Astyanax mexicanus: one gene and its partner. The protein of the gene in region 1 binds, or shares a complex with, the protein of each later gene. Links are inferred from orthologs where the notes say so. Each region holds a gene or a part of one and is shown in the gene's direction. Other genes may lie near its edges.

Evidence for each region. Proteins that work in one complex are often made in the same cells at the same time.
Region 2: the proteins of wwc1 (region 1) and lats1 are in contact, whole or in part, in a crystal structure (PDB 6J68), measured with the Mus musculus proteins. The link is inferred for Astyanax mexicanus from reciprocal best matches to the Homo sapiens genes WWC1 and LATS1. Residues at the interface, in NP_740749.1 of Mus musculus: Asp17, Tyr23, Ile25, Asp26, His27, Arg30, Thr31, Thr32, Ser33, Trp34, Asp64, Val67, Tyr70, Ile72, Asp73, His74, Lys77, Thr78, Thr79, Gln80, Ile81; in NP_034820.1 of Mus musculus: Ala546, Glu547, Ala548, Pro549, Ser550, Tyr551, Gly553, Pro554, Pro555, Pro556, Pro557, Tyr558, Leu562, Leu563.

The regions. Positions count from the first base shown.
Region 1 is NC_064424.1:17,689,825-17,701,866, forward strand, and holds the start of wwc1 (protein KIBRA), read left to right. Parts: upstream 1-6,717; 5' UTR 6,718-7,938; coding exon 7,939-8,057; intron 8,058-12,042. Other genes in the region: arl10 (ADP-ribosylation factor-like 10), read right to left, coding at 880-1,014. UniProt on the Homo sapiens protein: Regulator of the Hippo signaling pathway, also known as the Salvador-Warts-Hippo (SWH) pathway.
Region 2 is NC_064408.1:49,369,149-49,379,274, forward strand, and holds the start of lats1 (serine/threonine-protein kinase LATS1), read left to right. Parts: upstream 1-5,874; 5' UTR 5,875-6,093; intron 6,094-7,916; 5' UTR 7,917-8,040; coding exon 8,041-8,394; intron 8,395-8,907; coding exon 8,908-9,058; intron 9,059-9,342; coding exon 9,343-10,126. Other genes in the region: nucleoporin Nup43, read left to right, coding at 280-431, 519-635, 1,403-1,629. UniProt on the Homo sapiens protein: Negative regulator of YAP1 in the Hippo signaling pathway that plays a pivotal role in organ size control and tumor suppression by restricting proliferation and promoting apoptosis.

The DNA.
Region 1 (12,042 bases):
CCAACTGTTGGCACATCCCAAATAACTACCTTGTTTGTAATTAAATATACTCAGTTGGTCTGTGTTTTCTTCAGGACTGCGATATCCATTATATTCTTAGAAAAGTATTGTGCACATTACAGAGAGTTGGATCAAAATTAGAAACATTTTATCCGACCACCACACACATTTCTTACATTTAGGTTTTTCATTAATTTTGCCTTTTTTTTCACCACTGCCTCCAAAAGATATGTTTGTCTAGCTTTTTAAAGAAAAGGCAATTACAAAACTACAATTTTTAACATCCTAACAAACACACCAATTTTTTTTTTATTATTTGATGTTTTTACATATTCTTCCCAACTTTTTGGCCATTTTGTTCAAAATATTTTGGGTGGCCAAATATTTGCTTTCCTTTGTAAATAAAAAGTCAGTTTGACAGTGTTTTTAAAGCACTGGCCATATCCAAAACATGCAGAGAGAAGGGTATTATGTTAGCTAACAAAATGTATTGCAATATATATTTCTCTGCCAAACTTTATGTAAAACATTAGGATATATATTTAGAAATTGCAACTTGTAAATATTTAGGAATAGGTAGCCTACTTTCCTTCCCTTTTATGCTGTTTCACTTCTTTTTCCTCCTTTTTTGCTGACTAGACTTATATATTCTTAATAATAATTTACTCCTCAGTTGAGGAGCCGTTTGAAAGGCTGGAACACCTCAGTGAAGTATTCCTCAGAGCTGTAAGCTACACACGGTCAGGTTCAGCAGGTAAACTCCTGCTCCGGAAGTTTGTGTGACTGTGTGCGCAGTGTAATCTTCACCTCTGCCCCACCTGAGGAACTCTGCGGCGGCGCTGTGAGACTGAGACACTTCACAAAACAAACACAGCTCACCTCCTTGAACACGTAGTAGTCCTCCGGCGTCCATACGCGCCTCTTGTACAGTAAATTTACAGCTACGAATAAAGCGGCTCCGACGGCGGTCACCGCAGCGGTGAGAGCGACAGAGATGTGCCGGAGCAGAACCATGTGGGCCGGGCGAGGCGGAGCGGAGCCGGGGGGACGGCGCAGCTGCTGTTGGCTGTGGGGTTGGTGGTGGTGGAGCCGCTGCTGCTGCTGTGGCGCCGCGCCGTGCCGCTCGAGCTCAGCGCCTGGTTACCAGCACACGTGACTGCCTCGCTTGTTTTGTGTTGAGAAGCGCCCGCCTGTTTCTCAGTCGCTGATTGGTCGAAGGCGGGAGGCGGGGCGTGGCGTTCCTGTGGGAGGAGGAGAAAGAGGAGGGCTGTTCTCCTGATAGAAAAGAACATCTGGCCAAAAAAAAAAAAAAAAAAAAAAAAAAAAATATATATATATATATATATATATATACAGATCTGAAAAAAATTAAGAGACCACTTCAGATTCTGAATCAGTTCCTCTGATTTGATTATTTATAGGTATATGATTGAGTAAAGTGGAGATTGTTATTTTATTCTATAAACTATGGACAACATTTCCCCCAAATTACAAATAACAATTTTAGAGCATTTAGAGCATTTATTTGCTGAAAATGAGAAATTGTTGAAATAACAAAAAAGATGCAGAGCTTTCAGACCTCAAATAATGCAAAGAAAACAAGTTTATAATATTCATAAAGTTTTAAGAGTTCAGAAATCAATATTTGTTTTTTTTAATCCCAGTTTTAATGCACCTTGGCATGAGCTCCCGCACCAGTCTTACACACTGCATTTGGATAACTTTATGCCACTCCTGGTTAAAAAATTCAAGCAGTTCAGCTTGGTTTGATGGCTTGTGATCACCCATCATTCTCTTAATTATATTCCAAAGGTTTTCAGAACATCATCATTAAGTGGTCTCTTATTTTTTCCAGAGCTATATATATGTATATATATATATATATATATATATATATATATATATATATATATATATATATATATACTTGTGGTTTTAAAAAAATATATAATTTACAATTCACCAAATCACAATATCTAAACATCAGAAAATAAAGAGCTGTTTTTTTAAATATAACCTCTGCATCCTTGTGAGAAGAAAAGTGAACTTTGTGGCAATTTAGTCACAGGCAAGTAGGTGATAAGCCCTTAAGTATATTCTAGCTTAAACATGTGGAGTTTGGGGGCTCAGGGCATTCAACCACAGAAAAGAATGTAAATGCAAACCTACTGAACAGCTTTATTAATGAGTGGAAAACGATCAAAGCGCACAAGAAATCCAATCACAAATGTTTAATGGTTGAGTGGATGAAGTAGAACTTTGTTCTCAAGTGATACTTTGGGAGTATTAGCACTTATTAGGTCCAACTAAATAACTTTCATCTAAATTAATTACACAGTGAGTTGGCTAGATGGCTAGGTTGTAGATGGTGGAAGGGTTGTAACCCCTTTAATCCTGAATCCTGAACCTATGTCTGTGGCCTACACAAATGTCATGCTCTATTCATGTAGTAGTTGATATGAAAATCAGTGCTTTTGTGAAATAGAGCGTTTTCATTTTATTAGTTTCAGTGGTTAAATATTATATATACTACATTTTAAGCATTAAACTGACAATAAAATGCAACAAACAAATAATATCTATGTGCAAATGCAGTGGAGTATAGGCATTCTCAGTGGAGAATATAGTCACACACCCTCTGTGTGTGTTGTTCTGTGCTTTTGGTGTTTATAGCCAGTTTAGACACATATGCATGTTAGTCCTGCCCTGCTAAAATGTTTCGTTTTGTATTGCCTTCTCTAACTTTGCTTTGACGCTAACAGGCAACAGTTTTGTTGCATTGTCCAACGCTTGTCACTTGTGGGTGTGTTTGAGGCTGTTCACGCTATCGTGGGTGGGTGTGAACCCAAGTTACCAAGTTATCGAGCTATCCACTACTTTCTTCCTAGCTTTACTTTTTTTCCAAATTGTCGCTTGCCACTTGTCACTGTGTCATGGCTACAAATTGACCCCTTCCACAGGAAATGAATGGTCTTCTGTTAATCTGTTGCCTGTCAATGTGAATGCAGGAGGGTGAGAGACAAGACAGTGACCCCCAAGCAGCATTGCACATGCAAGATGGCAGAGTGCGGGATGTTCCACGACTTTCTCTGGGCTTCATACATAACTCTGTGCTGCGAATTAAAAATGGAGCGGTGGCTTAATAGAAAGCATTTATTTTAGTCTGAGATGCATGTACCCTTGTGTGACTTTTACGGGCAGAAAGAATCATAGTTTTATATACAGAATCTTTAAGTGAATTGCATGTTACACTAAGCTCATTAATGTGACTAGCTAGGTTTAGCCTCCAGTATGTGTGTCATTAATACAGCAACCAAATATATGGATATAGACTTCAGGAATTGGATTTTGATGCTATAAATTTGAACAGTGTTCAGTGTGAATATAGATTCCATTACAGGTAGATGGGTTTTTGAACATTTATTTATAAGACACAGGGTGTCAGATTCAGTTAACCAAATAAATTATCTTAAAGCAGGATTAATTTATTTATCATCACCAGTATAGAGCTCAGTAAACAAATTCTTAAGCAGCATTCCATTCCACAGGGATCTTAGCTGAATCTCGTCAGATTCCTGACACTGGATGTCAGTTAAAAGAACTGCAGTTAAATAAGTGCTTTCATCCAGTACCAAGATCACTATGGCCATGCTGTTGTGAACACAGCTAGGCATGATATTGAGATATATCTGTGCAGTACAATTACTGCTTCCTCAGTTTTTAAGGATCTGTGCTGACCACATATCCCAGAGGCCCCATGTTTAATGCTTGGCCCACTACTGCAGTAGGAGTCACCAACAGCATGCAGACCATGCAGTCTTTTTGCTCTGTGATTAAAGCAGGAACAGAGCCAGTTCTTCATTAAAAATATTCATTAGATACAGCTGTGATGACTTACATAAAAAGCAGTCATTATCTTCATGTTCAGAAGATGTGCAGCAGGCAGTGAATGTTATCTGCAGAACATTTGATTAAAGTATGTTCCTGTACCACAGAGAAGGAGAAAGAACTCTCTGTAGATACATGATAACCCAGCTACTGTAGCTTACTTACCCTATAACAAGTCCAGACACAAGCTTACTTGTGGAGCAATTCTTAGTTAATATTAATAATCTATTAGGACAATCACAAAAATGTACCTGACTCACATAATTTTTACTTATTCATTGTTTACTTTACAAAGTAATAAAATGATCAGCATATGCCATCATACAGCATATTAAGAAAACCTGCTTATCTCTTGACATCTAGTATGTTGGAAAACTGTTTGTGTTTTACACTCTGATTCCTCCACCTCTGACCCTGCCCATTTCCCAGTTCTATTTCCACACCTCAGGTTGCCAGGTATAAACACAATAGCAGGCAAACTTGGTAAAGACCGTGTGCTGCAGTCCCAGCATCCTCCTAAAGCAGCATTGCAAGTCTTCAGTCTAGAAATAGAAATTGGGTGTGGATGCTTGAAATCTAAATTGTAAAAAACTTAATGTATAAAACAGGTTTGATTTTACTCCATTACAATAGATAAAACTTAATAGTAAAACTTAAGTTAATACTGACAATGTGAAGAACTTTATAATGGCACGAAAGATGCAGAGCTGATTAATTTTCTCAAAAACAAGTAAGCACAAGTAAGTAAAAATTTTAGCCAAAAAAAAAAACATGCATGAGTTGAATTCTATAATACACAGTCAAGTCACAATATTATGACCTCCTTCTTATTTCTACACTCATTGTCCATCTTATAATAATAATAATAATAATAGGACACATTGTAGTTGTTATTACAGACTGCAGTACTCCTGTTTCTCTGTATACATTATTATCCTCTTTCACCCTGTTCTTTAATGGACATGACTAGAGTGTATTGATGAATCTGTTGATCATTTGATTAAATTCACGATTTTTGGAAAGATTTTTCACTGACAAAAATGGAAAGACATTTTGTTTGTATTTCTTATGTGTATAAACAATACAAAATGCACACTGTATATAAATTCTTTATGTATAAATATTTATAGAAGTATTAATAATTATATTGCTTATTTATTATAGTACTTTTTTGTTTATTTCATGTTAGCCAAATGTTAGGGTTTTATTGTGAAATGTTTGATGCAATATAGTAAATTAGTAAAGTCAAATTCTCTTTAACAAATGTATGTGTTTACTCCTGGGCCACTTGTTTTAGATTCTGGGTGATTTTATCTGACTTGCGGGCATCAGGGAGCCGTTACAGATATTTCCAGGAGACTTGGGACATCTGGAATTAGTAACTGCTGTTTCTAAAAACATATATTCAGAGAATTACTTAAAACATAACATTTTTACAAAAATGTAAATGTGTGTATTATTGCCAATGGCTCAATCATAACTACATCACTCTGACATATGTTGCACTACATTAGTGTAAAAAAATAGTTGAAAAGTTAAAATTAAAAGCCAAATAACACTTTTTAATTACACAATTTAATTACCATCCTATCTAATCGTGTTCTGAAAATTTCAGTGTGCCTTTTTAAACTCTCAGCTGCAATAAATACACTGGCGATGTTCACCCTTCCTCCGTTGGAGGGCGTTGTTCGTGTTTAATTCCGCTGTGGAAGTGGACGGGCCCTGTTAACTTTGTTGTTCAGCTGCTTGTTTGATCAAATAAATACAGCTTGAATGAAAGTGAATGTGTTATATATGATAAAGCACTTCATAGTATGGAGCCGCACTCTGTAAATGCAATAAACGGACTGAAGGAATTACGCTAAACACTTGCTCGCCCGCAGCCAGGAAACGTCACTCCAGCTTGCTCCTGTAAAGGCGGGAAAGATGCAGCTGGCATTTTATAATCAGTAATATACAGCTCTAAAAAAGAAACGTGAAAATTATGAGTTTCTTTGATTTTACCAAATTGACATATAATCAAGAGGAAGATTGATGATCACAAGCCATCAAACCAAGCTGATATGCTTGAATTTTTGCACCAGGAGTGGCATAAAGTTATCCAAAAACAGTGTGTAAGACTGGTGGAGAAGAACACTCCCAAAATGCATAAAACTGTGATAAAAAACAGGTTTATTCCACCTAATATTGACTTCTGAACTCTTAAAACTTATATTAATACGAACTTGTTTTCTTTGCATTATTTGAGGTCTAGAATAAAACCACAATATTAATTTTACTCAAACATATAGCTATTAATAGCAAAATCAGAGAAACTAATTCAGAAACTGAGCTGTATCATGTTGTTACTGCCCAGTGGAAAAAACACGTATCTCCAAATCAACACCTTAACAGAAGAGAGAGAGATAAAAACCTTCTGAACTTTCAGTAGACGTTGGTGAACAGTAAAAATAGTTTATATCAGGTAAATTTGAAGCAGTTCTTTCTTTATTGGTCCATTTACAAAAAATGACAAAAGTGTAGGGACAGATTGTTTTCTAATTATGTAGCTAGAAAACTAAAATTCTAATGGATAAACTTCGTTTAACCCCAACTGTCGTTTTCATCGGACAGTGATATGATATATATATATATGTAACATGCTTTATGTACTGATAATATTAGTATATTTTTATAATATTATTATTCAGAAATTATCCTCAGCAGACGCTGTGAGGACTGATGTGTTGTGCTGCGGACAGGTAGGAAGGTTAGCCAGCGAGTGTTTCCAAAGTGCTCGGTCTGTACGTGGCTCCGCTATTGGGAGAATTACGGTCATCACCTGTATGACGCCATTCATCCAACCGCAGCATAGCGACCGAGCTTGGCTTGGGAGCTGAGGGAGAACCGCAGCCACTTAAAGGAGAAGCGAGAGCTGGAAATATACGGCTGGAAGTGGCGAGTTTCTGAAGAAATGTTTTTTGGAGACCCTGGATAACAGATAGAGGCAGTCAGAAGAGAGGGCGAGGGTTGTGCGGAGCACAACTGAGGGAGAACTGAGGGAGAGAGAGAGGGGTCTGCTCCTAGTTAACAAGCGTAAGCTGGGTTGGCTCACTTGCTAAGCTAACAGGCTAACGCAGCAACAGCGCTAACGTTGGCTAGCTAGGTTAGCGTAAACATGGTGGACAGCAGCAGCAGCAGGCACTGAGGAGGGGAACTCCAGCATGTTTTGTTGTTTTGGTTTTTGGAGGAGTTTGTTTTTGCGGGGGTGGACGTGGAATAGACGTAGCTTGGTGTAATTTTCTCTCAGTTTTCTTTGAAGAACTTTTGTTAGTGTTAGTATTTTAGGGTTCCTGTTTTAGACTTAGTTAACTAAGCTAGCTTAGGTTGCTAAGTTACTTCTCTTCATAGAGAAAAAGTCTAGCTGAAACTTTTTGGAACAGCCTGAGTTTGCAACTTGTCTAGGTTAGCTAACTAGGTAGCTAATGTGTGTAATGTTTCGGAGTTGATTCTTAGTTTATTTTAAAATAGCTAAACAACTCTTTATTTCATAAGCACAGAGTATTTTTACCCTTTTTTAATTTAGCTAAGCAACTCTCTTTCATAAGCCTAGTCTTTTTTTTCTCTTACTTTTTTTTAAAAAAATATTTAGCTAAACAACTCTTTATTTCATAAGCACAGTTTTTTTTATTTTTATTTTTTTACTTTTTTATATTTAGCTAGATAACTACAGTGCTCACGGCTGTAGCTGTTGGTAGGCTGTTGGTAGGCTGCTCCTGCCTGGTGGACGGATTCTGCCAGGATGCTCCGTTGTAAACTGTAGGATCTGTGGTGGAATCTGTAGGAGCAGAAGGGAATACTGTTGGAATACCCTGGAATACCCTGAAATATAATGGATTATCCCCAGATTCCCAGACCCAGAAACGCACACACCTCGCTCCTCAGCAGTTAATGGCACTTGGGCGCTGTTTTAGCGTTGGATCAGCCCGAAAACTACACATGCTTCTTCGCCGTCAAATTGATCTACAAGACTCAACGTTAGCGGGCATATTACATGGAGACTAGTTGGACATGCCAAGGAAGGAGTTACCATTGCCAGAGGGTTGGGAAGAAGCCCGAGATTTTGACGGGAAGGTCTACTACATAGACCATATCAACCACACTACCAGCTGGATTGACCCCAGGGATAGGTAACCTAATAATTTATGATCTGTAATAGGGGTGGGCGATATGGTCTTAAAGTAATTAATATTGTGATATTTTAGTGTATTTTTTGCTATAATGATATTTTCTTTGTGATAATAATAAACACTGATATTTTATAATATTTTATTTATTCAGAAAAAGTCACTAGTTTAATTAACTTAACCCTCTAAGGCATAGTGTTGCCCTCGGGAAACAAACCAATGTTTTGGTCCATATCATACATTATTTCTCATTTATCCATATTTAATACAACGTTACATCTCTTCCCATACAATTAGGCATATAGGTAAGCATTACATAAAATGTATATGTGGAAGAGTAGGTGAAAGAAGTACAGCACTGGAAAAAATTAAAAGACTGAATCTGTTTCTCTGATTTAGCTATTTATGTGTATGTTTGAGTAAAATGAACATTGTTGTATTTTCTATAAACTACAGACAATATTTCTCCCAAATTACAAATAAAAACATTGTCATTTAGAGCATTTATTTACAGAAAATGAGAAATGGCTGAAATAACGTAAAAGATGCAGAGCTTTCAGACCTCAAATAATGCAAGGAAAACAAGTTCATATTCATAAAGTTTTTAAGAGTTCGTAAATCAATATTTGGTGGAATAACCCTGTTTTTAATCACAGTTTTATTGCATCTTGGCATGTTCTTCTCCACCAGTCTTACACACTGCTTTTGAATAACTATGCCATCCGTGGTGCAAAAATCCATGCAGTTCAGCTTGGTTTAATGGCTTGTGATCATCCATCTTCCTTTTGACTATATTCCATAGGTTTTCAATCTGGTAAAATCAAAGAAACTCATCATTTTAAGTGGTCTCTTATTTTTTCCAGAACTGTATATTTGTCTGTCTGTATTCTTACTATATTCCTACTTTCCTGTTGTGAACTTACTTTTTTTTCATTAGAATTAGAACTCCATTGTCAGATTAATCATGATGAAGCAGTGGTTCTCTTTTAATTCTGGTCCTGGTGGAGACCTCCTCCTACCCAAAAAGCATCCATGTTTTGGGTGCTTCCTTGCTCTTAAACACCTGATTCAAATGATCAGCCTGTTATCAGAAGACAGACTCTAAATTTAAGTTTGCCAGCTATATCTACAGGGACTCCCAAGCTTCAAAAAGTTAATTAATGCCATAGAGGGTTAAACTACATAGACACCTTCAACCACACCACCAGCTGGATGAACCCAAGGGATGGGTAATAATTTATCTGATCTGTGATGTTATTAGTTGTCGATATGGGCTTGAAGTAGCTAAGATCACAATATTTCATGGTATTTTAATGCTAACAATATTTTCTTTGTGATATAATAAAACACTGAAACATAAAAATAAGTATATTGTTAGTGTAAAAATAAACACAGATTTAAGCCTTTTCTTATTTTTATTACAATATTACTGTGTCATGATATATTGTTTTTGATTCGATATGGCACACCCATAATCTGTGGTGTATACAGAGAGAGGGGACTTCTGTGGGGCAAATCAATTCACTCTGCATTTTTTCTTTTACAGATTTCCTGCCTGCTTCTACAATCATAGCTAGCTTGCTATTTCAGTTATGCTCATCCATTCTCTTTAGTCTAGTCACACATGAATCATGCTAGCTCACACACATTCCTGTCACACCACCTTTTTCTTTTTTCTTTTTTGAAGATTTCCTAGCAAAGTGTTTCTGTTCTGTAGAGAACATAAAGAAACTTTGTAACATAAATTATGCATATGTAGGCTTGCATTTGCGTTGAGCCTTAACAATTTTTGTATTATTGCAAAAGAGGTTTTCAGTATTACTACTGGAATTCATTTGGACTTTGGCACAAAATCTTTACAGGAATGCCTTGGGATTAAATGAGCATTTCTAAGCTTTGGTTATTGGTTCAGATCATGTTGCATTGATTTAAGATGGGTTTGCAAAAAGGTTATCCTGATTTTTTTGTGTAATTCATTTTTCATTTTTGAGGGAAATTAGGCAACTACTGTACCTTTCTGTTTACTTTGTTCTTCTCTCTCAGCTCGCAAATTTGGAACATGATAGTGTTCGGGCCACATATTTCTCTCTTTGTCTGGTGCAACAGGTTTGGCTGTAGCCAGGAAACCAAGATGGCAGAAATTTGTAAACAAGTACCTAGGACACATTCCTGAAAGTACTGCATGAGAGCTGCCCATAGAGGCGTGCAAAAGCGAGGGCTGATTCTCCCAAATCCCTTTCACTGCATGCCAAGGTGCACAACAAGGTGAAAGTGCACAACACGGCTCTGCAAACGTTAACAAGGACGGGTAAACAGCAGTCAAAATGCACATTTTGCTCAGTGGTCTAAGAGAGCCAGAGGCTGCGGCACAGTCCTGCTGGAGCTCAGGCCTTTCAAAGAACTGAGCAGAGGAGGAATAAATTTTGCTCTAAATTCAGTCACAGTTATATTAAATGCATGAGGTCTGGCATTACTTCAGTTTTGTCATTTTATTTTTAAATAAAAAAAGGCAATAATTATATCTCCACTAGACTGAAGTTGGTGCAGTGTGCACATATCTTCTTTGAACTATGCAAGGCTGTCATGCAACAACTGAAAGGATCCACATAGAAAGGCAGGATAAAAAGGCTTTCAAGCCATTGCGTTGATGTTCGGTGTCTGTGCGCACCGCCTTGCATCAAAAGAGCTGATTAAAAATTACCAACATTTCAAATCCTGACCCAAATCTGTCAGCGCGTCTGCCTGTCTCCCACCTCCACAGCACATCCCATATAGAAGCTGCTGGTGTTCCCCTGCTGAGCAACAGTTGGAGCATTCTGTTCACATTTCCTTGCTTGCTCATTTCCACCCACCAAATATGTATTTACCATATGCCTTGATTGTGTCGATTACATGTCAATATAACAATTATTCACGTGTTGCAGTTCACACTTAAGCAGGGCAGTCTATCTAAACAGAACAGGGCTGCTGGTACTGTTACTCACAGACAGTTAATCGGTTAAAGCTCACCTTCCGTCGTTTTTTCTTTCATTTTAAAATGTCTAGTTGTGGTCTCTAGTATGAATGAATGACATGTGAGCCGTTTTTGTAAAGAAAAAGTGCTCAGGTGTCTCTGTATAGCTCTTTTTTAATGGACTGTTTTAGGGGTGTGTCCAAAATGACCGGATTCCAGCTTTGCTCATGAATATTCATACATGCAAACAGCATGCAAATATCTCTCCTCTGATTGGCTAGGAGCACTGCGACGCCTCTCCGCCGCTCTGCCGCTCACTGCCTCCCACCTCCTAACTGATGAGCGGTGATGTTGCGTCGCTTCAGCTCCGCCTCTGGGAGTTTCTCGAGCCAAGGTGGGCTGGTCTGTGAGTTTCTGCCTACGTAGGCAGAAAGATAATTCAAAATTCACCCGTTTTTCGGAGGGAGGGAGGGGGGATTTCTTGGCTTAGCTCCTGCAGACAATGGGGGCTGCAAAACAGTTTAATGTGCAGGTGTACACATTCAACTCGGAGAGACCTACTGTATTCCACAAAAAACAAGAAAAATCGGATTTTCGCGGAAGGTGAGCTTTAATGGCTTACACACATCTAAACGTAGGTCCATCGTTATACCTACTTTTGTTTGGATGATATATTTTCGCAGAAGTTATTGCTTTAAACAATATTTTTGTCATTCAAGAGCGTATATGACACTAATCTAATCATTATACACTGTCAGGAGAAGGGGGATGGTACATTTTTGTTAATCCAAAGTAAAACCAAACAGTGTAAATGTATCTGCAGGGAACAAACAATTGCAAATGAGTATAGTACAAATATATATGTACTTGAACACACAGCCCTGGGGGAACCCCTCCCCAATGACATTTTTTTTGAGAGTTTATAGCAACTTATTACACTCTTTTATAAAGCAATAAACTTTTAATTATTAAGATGGTCAATGGCCAATCAATGATAAAAAAAACAAACAAACAAAATGAGTTATATTTTAGGTC
Region 2 (10,126 bases), on another chromosome or scaffold:
GAGCAAAGCATATGAGAGCAATTGTATTTTTTAGTACTGTAATCTGGCCTTTTTATTTTTTTTTTGTCTCCGTCAACTACTGTTTGCTGGTGTAATTGCAATTACAGACCAGACACATCAGTTCTTCTGCATCAGTTTAAAAGATCTTTACCTGTACAGGGTCAATAAATAGCTTCAAAATAACATTATTTGCAGTTACAGTGTTTGATATGTTTCATGCAGTTCCCTCCATTCTGTTATAGCAGTATAGCAGTAATACAATGTCTTTTGTTTCTGTAGCACTGGGGACAGAGTGCCACTGCACTGTGTGGACAGACACCCAAACCAGCAGCATATAGTGGCCACTGGAGGCCAAGATGGTATGCTATGCATCTGGGACGTGAGGCAGGGCAACATGCCCTTCTCTCTTATGGAAGCCCACTCTGCTGAAAGTGAGTACTTCATCTGTCAGTATGGAAAGCTGCAAGTCAAGTCAACTCATTGGCACTGATTATTGTATCTTTTTTGTTCTTCTCTAGTGTGGGAGGTCCATTTTCACCCGACAAACCCAGACCACCTGTTTACTTGTTCAGAAGACGGCTCTCTACTGCACTGGGAGACCTCCTCTGGCTTAGACACCCCCTCATTCCTGCAGAGTAAGTAAAATCCAATGGCTTCCAGGGTCTGACTAAAAGAAAACTAAAGCCTTTACAGTCGAAGTTAGACCAATGTCCAGTATTACTTAATCCAAGTGGCTTAGGTTGTTAAAATTCCACATAGCAACTTCAGGTACACACTGTCAATCAAACATCATTTTGAATTTGGATTTCCAATTACTCGAGAAAATTACTTATCCTGAAAATATCTTAATGTAACTTAAGTATTTTGCCATATTTAGCATTTTGAGATTATACCGTGTTTATAATAGTATGAAAACACTCATATAAGTAACAACGGTTTGCTTATAAGGAATGAGATTATCTGAAATTGCTGTCATCCATTATACACATTTTACCCGACTGGTTGTCCCTGATGATATGATGCATCAGAAACGAGGATGATCTCATGAGGTTGTAAGGTTTGGGATTATCTTTTTGAAAGTCTTATTGTATTGTAAGTAAGCTTTATTTGAGTGCATTGAACATCCGTGTTAGTAATGAGTGCCACTTAAAGTATCTGAATGCAGGGGTGTTTACAAACATTTGGACATAGTGTTATGATCCTGCATACTGACAAAAAATATGCCCCCTTAAAAACTGTAGATAGGTGTCCCCAAACATTAGAAGACAGTATATGGGCAGATTATGGGCTATTCTATAGTGTTGATGCTGCATGTTCAGTACCTTTTAAAAGTGCCTTGACTTTCAGTCTTATACAAACTTCAAATGTCTTTCCTCTTTTATTTTGTGTCTGTGTTTCTTAGGCCGCAACACCAGCATCATGTCCCGCAGTGCGGCAGCTCCTGCAGGGGGAAACCAGTCCCTCATCAGTGCCTGGCTCAATGGAGACTCCAGCAAGGGCAGGCTGGAGACCACTCACATGCTTCCCAGCCAGACTCTGTCTGTCAACAGTCTGGATGTGCTTGGACAGTGCTTAGTGTGTGGCACTGATGGAGAGGCAGTTTACATAAACAGACAGGTTCCTGTGTGATACGCAGCACCAAAGAGTTGTGATTTATTTTCAGTAAATGTTCACCTGACCAACAGTTTTTGTTTGTTTTGTTATGCTTTCCTTGGATAATGCACTTAATAAAAGAGTGATCTTTTTATTTGAGTTTGAAAGTGTGCACTGCATATGAATCGTCACAAAGTTTATCAAATGTTCGCCAAAGAGGTCATTGCATTGTAAAAAAATGACAAGACTTTTATTGGACTATTATTTATCAGTCAATTCAACTTGTCTGTATTCCTGATGTAATTGTAATAGTTGTCATGATGTAGACCTTTTATTATTTACCTTTTGATATTAATTTGACTAGTAGGGGTGAGTGATATTCTTGGCCACGTGATGTTAAAATATATTTTATTAATTTCAATAATATATCACTGCAACAAAACAAATGTTAAAGTTTTATTTCGTAGAAATAATAGTTTCAAAAATTTTGTAGCAAACCAAATCTGTACATTTTGTTTATTTTGTAAACAACATAACATACTAAGGCTCTAATTGTGTATAAATAATTATTTTATGAAACAAAAAATGACCACACTACGGAAGCGCAGAATGTTTTAGGCATGCAGACACAATCATGCAAAAAAAACCTTTTCAGTAAATAGAAAATGTACAAAAAATGGACTGCTTTCAAAACCAAATGCTGCCATTAACATTTATTTTCTTCTTTTTTTCTTCAATGTTGATGTGTTTTGAGTGGTAAAATATAGCATGCCCTTTGTGACTAGATCGTAAGATTGATGAGATTTAACTACTTGCATTTACACTTGGTTGTCAGATGCATCTCCAGTTAGACTGAAATTTGATTTGTGTGTGGGTTGGATATGAATAACTCTAATTGGCATATTGCCCTATTGGCTGCCCTTTATATGGGTGTAAAAATGTTGAGTGACAGCTAGGGTTTCCTTTTAATGCAAAACAATCTGGTGATGTACCTGTCAATTAGGTAATGTGTCTAAAAAAATGTTGTTAAGTGCCCTCTAATTTGAAAATTGGATGCAGTGATCCATGTTAGGTGGGTAATTTTAGGAATACAGTTTGTTTTGCCTTCAAATTTAAAAACAAAATGTTCGCTTTTTATTTCCTGGCATGCATGAACTTGTAGCAAGTGTCTAAAACAGTGTAAAGGTTGTGATGTCACTGCTTTCCAACTTTACTTTATTAATAGTGCAGTTATGCCAAGATTCCAATAATTCTTGGACACGTTTTAATAGCTTGATTTAGTTTGAACTAAGTGATTAATTAAAGCACCTAAATTAGAAGTAGAGAGAGTTTTACTGCAATACAAGCAGGATAAACAATGAACAGGTACCCCAATGTCCATATTGTGTGCTAGATTAGTGTAGGTTACAAACATATAACATGCCCATATTAGTATAGTTTACTTGTGGTGTTTTACAGGGTTTTACACTAGGGCCAAGATAAAACTGATCTGAATAATTATAAAACTGTCGATCTGAGAGTGAAGGCCTGAGGTTTAGGGTTACATACATGTTCTAACTGCACACAAGCAAATGCAATATTAGGACATTTATGGTGGAAACATTGATTTCAGTCCTTTGATTTCAATATTTTAAGGCAAGCAGATTTTTATTTTCTTAGGTCATCCAGTGTACCACCTTGGAATGCTTCACATCACAGTTTGAGAACCACTGCCCTACAGGAACACAAAAGATACCAAGTTAACATGATTCACAAGCAGTTATCAGGCTTGCACACAAATAAAACCATATAACAATCGAATCAGTATATCTGAAGTACTAAAACCTAGCTACATAACTACTTTGATACAAGACTAGCATATGCTGCAAAGTCATGTCTTGTAACTGTTAGCATGGTTTGCTAACAGTTACAAGAACTGCCTTGATATCAAGGAACAAAGAAAGACTTGAATAATGTAATACAAACAGGATATACAGATTTAATGTAAGTATAGTTTGAATCATGGTTGAATCAATTTGCACAAAAATAAACATAAAGGGTGTCTAGCAGATCCAATATTGTGTGATTTTGCTTGCTAGGACAGGCAAAAAATGGATTACATACTATTTTATACATCATACATAGTAGTGCTCCACATACAATGGCAGATATATTAAAACTTTCCAAAAAGCATAGACTACAATATCATCCATTATTGTTGATGTGGAGGGTGATGCTGCATCCATATTCTTGTTGTTGTCTTTTTACTTTTTTTTTTAGCCCCTCTCCAATTAAATAGTGGGATCTGATTGGACGGTGATTACATTTTATTAAATTCTGTGGTGCTCCTAAACCAAATGCAATCCTGTGTAGAGTAAGGTGGTCACATAGGTGGAACATGGGCTAGGTGGATTGTGGGTGAGCATGGACTCATGAGGCCATATCATTAAAGGGCATCATTATTTGACTATTGACTATTATTTTGACTGTTTACATTCACAAATGTAAAATACCTGTATCTGTGTGTAATGTCAATGGATCTGTCCCTAAAACGCATCACATGCGCACATTAATGTAATTATGTGTATAAACGTCACCTTCTTCACAAACAACAAAAAATGTCATATGAGACACGACTCGTAGCTTTATAAAGGGAAATGGATGAGTTAGCAGCTCATATGTGGAGCATCTTTTGCTGGAGTGGAGAATAAACAGCTTGTCTGAAGAACATGGCCAGGTCAAGGAGTAGAAAAAAGGCCAGGCGGCTTGTTTTTGCTATTTTTCAACAATAGCCAAGAGATGTGTGAGAGAAGCACATAACGCATGCGTAAAGGCAAAAAGACGCATGAACTCTGATTTGACCGTTCATATTTTCGCATGTCCATGGATCGGATACATATCTGATATAGGACTGTATATGGAAGTGACTCAAATCTGATTTTAAATTAAAAACATTTAAAAAATAAATGGATTTGGCATGTTTACGGATTTTTTTAGCCTGGTAATATAAACGTATCCTGAATATTACGGCTCATATTTAGCCCTATTTTCAGTGTACAGCCCAGAGGGGGCCATGTTTAACTCCTCCTGGTCCCATTACTCACACACATATGTGGGGCCAGTTTTCCCACTCTAAAGGGCACTTTTAGTTATGTTTAGTTAAGTTTTAGTTTAGGAATGTGGTGTATTTTTTTTTTTTACATAAAAAAGTGGTGAGCACAAGATAGTAAGCAGTGAGCACCATATTGTATAGTCACTGATCTGTACATGACTTTACAGACTGCTACGTTGTGCTGTGCACATGCTCTGCAATCCTCTATCCAGTTATCAAAACTGTGTGGATTATTTAGCTTGTAATGTAGGCTGCTTTTGCAAAGATCGAGCAAGCTAACTTAAAGACAGCAAATTTAGCTTGGTTTAGTTTACATGTCCCATAAGAGTTAGCTGGTTATCGTTAGCTCTGGGCTTATAGCTACCTTTCGCTACCTATCTAAAACATTCCACACTAAAATAAAGTAGTTAAGGTTAGCTAAACTAGCTAGCTAGCTAAGAACTTTATTTCACTGTGAAATATGTCAGTTTAAACTATAGCTTTCTGGCTACCATTATCTGGTGCTCACCACATAATTTGAGGTGCTCACCACTTAGTATCTGGTGCTCACCACTTAGAATCTGGTGCTCACTACTTAGTATGTGAGGCTCACGCATACTATCTGGTGCTTACCACTTAGTATGTGGTGCTCACCACTTAGTATCTGGTGCTCAGCACTTAGTATGGAGTGCTTACCACTTACTATCTGGTGCTCACTACTTAGTATCTGGTGCTCACAGCTTAGTATGCAAGGTTCATCACCTACTATCTTGTGCTCACTACTTAGTATGTGAGGCTTACACTTAGTATCTGGTGCTCACCACTTAGTATCTGGTGCTCAGCACTTACTATCTGGTGCTCACCACTTAGTATGTGAGGCTAACCACTTACTATCTGGTGCTCACCACTTATTATGTGAGGCTCACCACTTACTATCTGGTGCTCACCACGTACTATCTGGTGCTCACTACCTAGTATGTGAGGCTCACACTTACTATCTGGTGTTTACTACTTAGTATGTGGTGCTCACCACTTAATATCTGATGCTCACCACTTTTTTACGTAATAAATACACCATGTCCCTTCAGGGGTTCCGTAAAAACGTGTGTGTGTGTGTGTGTGTGTGTGTGTGTGTGAGAGAGAGAGAGAGAGAGAGAGAGAGAGAGAGAGAGAGAGAGAGAGAGAGAGCTGAGCTGAGCTGAGTGATCTCTGTACGGGAGCAGAGTGAAGCGTTCACACATCCGGGCATCTCCGCTCTGACAGACTCGGAGTGCCAAGGCGACCGTGTCAATACAAAGCCGAGTCTTTAGCTGGAGCTAGCGGATCTTTCACACACTTTCACTGAGTTTTAGCGGAGTTCCTCGGCTCCTCAGACCGACACTGCGCTGTAGATGTTGTCTGGGTTCAGTATGGATATTCTTTAGTCGACGGTGAGTAACTTTAAGTCTGTGCTGGGTGTCCGGGCTAACGGCTAAGCTAGGCTCCGCTCTCCGCTCTGAATCGTTAGTGTTTAGGCCTCGGCGCTCTGCTATCACCAGGAGTGAACTTCTCCCAGCAGAAACACCGCTGTTTATAGTGTTTATTCTCAGGAGCAGAGAATTCAACACCGCAGGCTTCGAAATGAGCGGGATAAAACTAGTCTTTAACTAGAGTGGTAGCTAGTGAAGCTGTGCTGCTAACTCTGCAACATTAGCTTAGCTAGCTTAGCTTAGCTAACCTGAACTAGCCAGGCTAACGATCTTCTGTGTTCAACATGAAGCTCTGTTAGAAGAGTCGCTACTGAAAGATAAAATAACACCGTACATTTAAATAACTCTAGATAACATCGAACTAACCCTGTTTAAACACGGCCGCTGGAGGAGTAATGTTAATGTATCCTCTGTTGGTTGGTTTGTTTGTTTGTATAGCAGCTGGCAACTAATTGTTGCCCTTGTATAACAAAGTGTATTAAGTATATATATTTAAATTATACTCAACATGGAATTAAAATATGTACTTAAATGCATAACGTTAGTAAATGTACCATTTTGAGACAATTTATGGCGACTTAAGTATATTTCAGTTGTAATTAAGCTCTATTTAAACACAATATAAAAGTTTTAAATTGTGCTTTTGAGTGCTTTTTTTCGTATATCTTCTGCGAACTTAAGTGGATTTAAGTATGTGTTTTTAGAAACATTTTTAATACTCTTGAAGTATGTTGTAAATGTACTACTTTGCCTATTGATGCACATATTGTTCCTTATTGACACTGGGGAAAAATACACTAAAGTGCACTTTAAGCGGTATTTAATGCCAATATTTATATTTTCTATCGACACAACGTATCATTTAAAGCATATTGGTTAAAATGCATTTTATGGAAATACAGAGAAAATATGTTTAATTTGTATTTTTCATAAAGTATATTAAACCGCAAATGCATTTTTAATATTCTTTACCTAATTTGAACATACTTTTAATACTCTTAAGTACTTTTTAATACACTTTTTACAAGGGTGGCCAGGTTAGGTAGTTGCCTAGTTAGTTAACTAGGTTAGTTAACTAGCTTTATTTAGCCTTTATTTATCGCTATATAACTTAAATAATATATAATTAGTTGTAATAACTAGGTTAGGACCTGGGTGAGCGAAACAATACATTCAGATGTTGGACGACCTTTTTTTAAAAAAATAAAAAACTTGCTGAAAAAAAACGTAAAAGATTTGAATTCGTTTTTTGTTCAGCAGTCAGCAGTTAATTTTATTGCTTTGTACTTGTTACCTTTAGAGTTTTATTAGGCATCTTTGGGCTAGTTAAGTTAGCATTGGCTTAAACGTTAAAAAGTTGCTAAACAATTAGTGTTATTAATATTATTATAAGCTGTTAATAGTGGCTAGTCTGTGTTTAAAAAAAATTGTTGTTATTCTGGAAAGATGACTTCACACTGACGCTTTGCTTGTTTCACAGTAAATCTTCCAGGTACTGACAGCAGGGCAGAGCTCACATATTGTATCCACCTGCACAAATACTTTCATCTGAGGTTTACGTTGCAAACTGTGTAGAAGGATAGATAGCATATAGGTTTGTTTATGTATGGCTGTCTTATCAAAATAAGTGTGTGTCCGCTTAGACATAACTAGTGTTGTTGATTCTTGAGTTGATTTAGACTAACTTTATATCTAGACCTTTATAGTGAAACCATTCTAATACCCTGTTGTTCTTTCTCCTTCTTTTTGAATGTTGTTTGTTTGTCTGACCCTTGCATATACAGACACTTGGGCATCGCTCTGGTATGCAGGTAAAATCCACTGCTTGCTGTTAACACTTTCACAGTGTCACTGTGCACCGTGCAACATCTCATTCACACTGGGGATTGGTGAGATACATGGTTTTTCATGAAGAGAAGCGAGAAACTCGAAGGATACAGGCAGATGCGGCCGAAGACGTTTCCGGCAAGCAACTACAGTGGCAACAGTCAGCAGATGTTGCAGGAGATACGGGAGAGCCTACGGAACCTCTCCCGCCTGTCTTCTGATGCTGGCAAGGTGGAGACAGGTGGGGGCAAGAGCCTGCCAGAGGACCCGCGCCAGCAGGGCCGCAGTGCCAACCCCAAAAACCCCCACCACAAAGCCCTGCAGGTGATTCGAGAATCATTATTGCCATTTGCCAACGAGCCCACCTGCACCGGTCGTGGATATGAGGTTAACATGCAGATGCTACAGGAGCTGTTGGCGGCAGGCTTTGACGAGGTAGGAGAGCCGACCAAATACAGCACATAAATTCCCCAGCATGGGTTAACAGGTTTACAATATGTTTGTCAAAATAGGAATGTTCTCTTGTCAGGTGATCATTTAACATAGTTTAGGAATGACAGCAGTGGAATGTGGACAGACAAGTTTTAGCAGTAGTACAAGGCATGGCGCAATGTTTTGCGCACTTGTTTTCAGCCACAGTTATGTGTTGGATGCTTTCTTTTTGTTAAAATTTAAGCTCTGTTGGAGAAAACACTCTGATGTTTTGTTTGGTGGAATAATTTAGGCATAACATTTTCTTATAGCCTGCATAAGATGTTTAAATGCAAGCTCTATTCATGTAAACAATAAAGGAAAGCTTGTCTTTTTGCGCTGTTTCATATAATTCACTTATTTTGTTTGCATTCGTTACCTGCAAAACAGATTAAGTAAATGTGGAGGCATGTTTGATGATAGTTTGACTTTTTAAATGTGTGATTGTGTTAAATGTGTGTGTGTGTGTGTGTTTAGGAGCTGGTGATCTGTGCTCTGAGGAATACCAACAATCGCAGTGTGGGGGCAGCTAAAGAATACATCAGTAAGATGAGCTACCAGGACCCAGTGAGAGAGCAGATGGCAGCTGTAGCAGCACGTCCAGCTAACGCAGCCATCAAAGCAGCTGGTGGGTGTGCCCCGCCTCCGGGGAGCAATGTCCACTCTTTGGCTCATTCATAGAACCAGTGTTCTATTGCATTGTGGTCACTTATTCTGTAGGAATGTCACATGGGAGCAATACCAATAAACCTGGAATGGTGTTTGTGCTTGTGTGTGTTTTAATATGTTTGTATGCTGCCGAGATGGCCTGTTTTAATGCTCTTAATGTTGCCATGTCTCTCCTACTGCTGTTTGAAGGTGGTAATTGTGTGCGTGTGTGTTTGCGTGTGTGTGTTTGTGTTTCCTACACAGGCCCCTCTCACATCCAGCAGCCTGTTCTACGGAGGCCAAGTTGGAAGGGCTCCAAGGAATCTCTGGCTCCACAGTGGCACGGAGCCCTCATGGCTGATGGCATCATGTACCGCTCTAACAGCCCTGGCCCTCAAGCTGACCTCCCCAGATCTTCCACCTACCCCCAGAATCTTGCGTCTGGTGTCAGCAGCCAGCGGGTGAATCCTCCACTTCCACCTCAAGTTCGTAGTGTCACTCCTCCCCCTTCTTCCTGGGAATCAAACCCTGCCACCAAGCGCTATTCTGGAAACATGGACTACCTCGGGCCCCGCATTTCGCCTGTTCCTCAGGGGCAATGGCCTGACAACTTTCCAACCCCTGCAGGCCAGGCCCAAAGAGGCATCAGCCCGGTGCCCATAGGCCGCCAGCCCATAATTATGCAGGGCTCTGGTGGAAACAAGTTCAGCTTTCCCCCTGCCTGGCCACAGAATGGCTCAGGACAGGCAGAGTACGGCAGTGGCAGGCAGCCTCCTCCACCGTACCCACTGGGTCAAGCAAGCAGACATAGTCCTACTGCCCAGCAAATGCAGTCTGGTGGTCCCACTCCCTCCCCACCCTACTCCAATGGAGGCAACCTGCCACCATCCATGTTGGTGCCCAATCGTAACAGCCACAATTTGGACATGTATCTTGGAGTACTGCCTCAGCCTAGACCACAGCAGCCTGGCTCTTCCCCTGGAAGCAGCAGTAATCAAGAGGTTCCCTTACCCTCTTGGCCTCATAGCATCCCAGCACGCTCCAACTC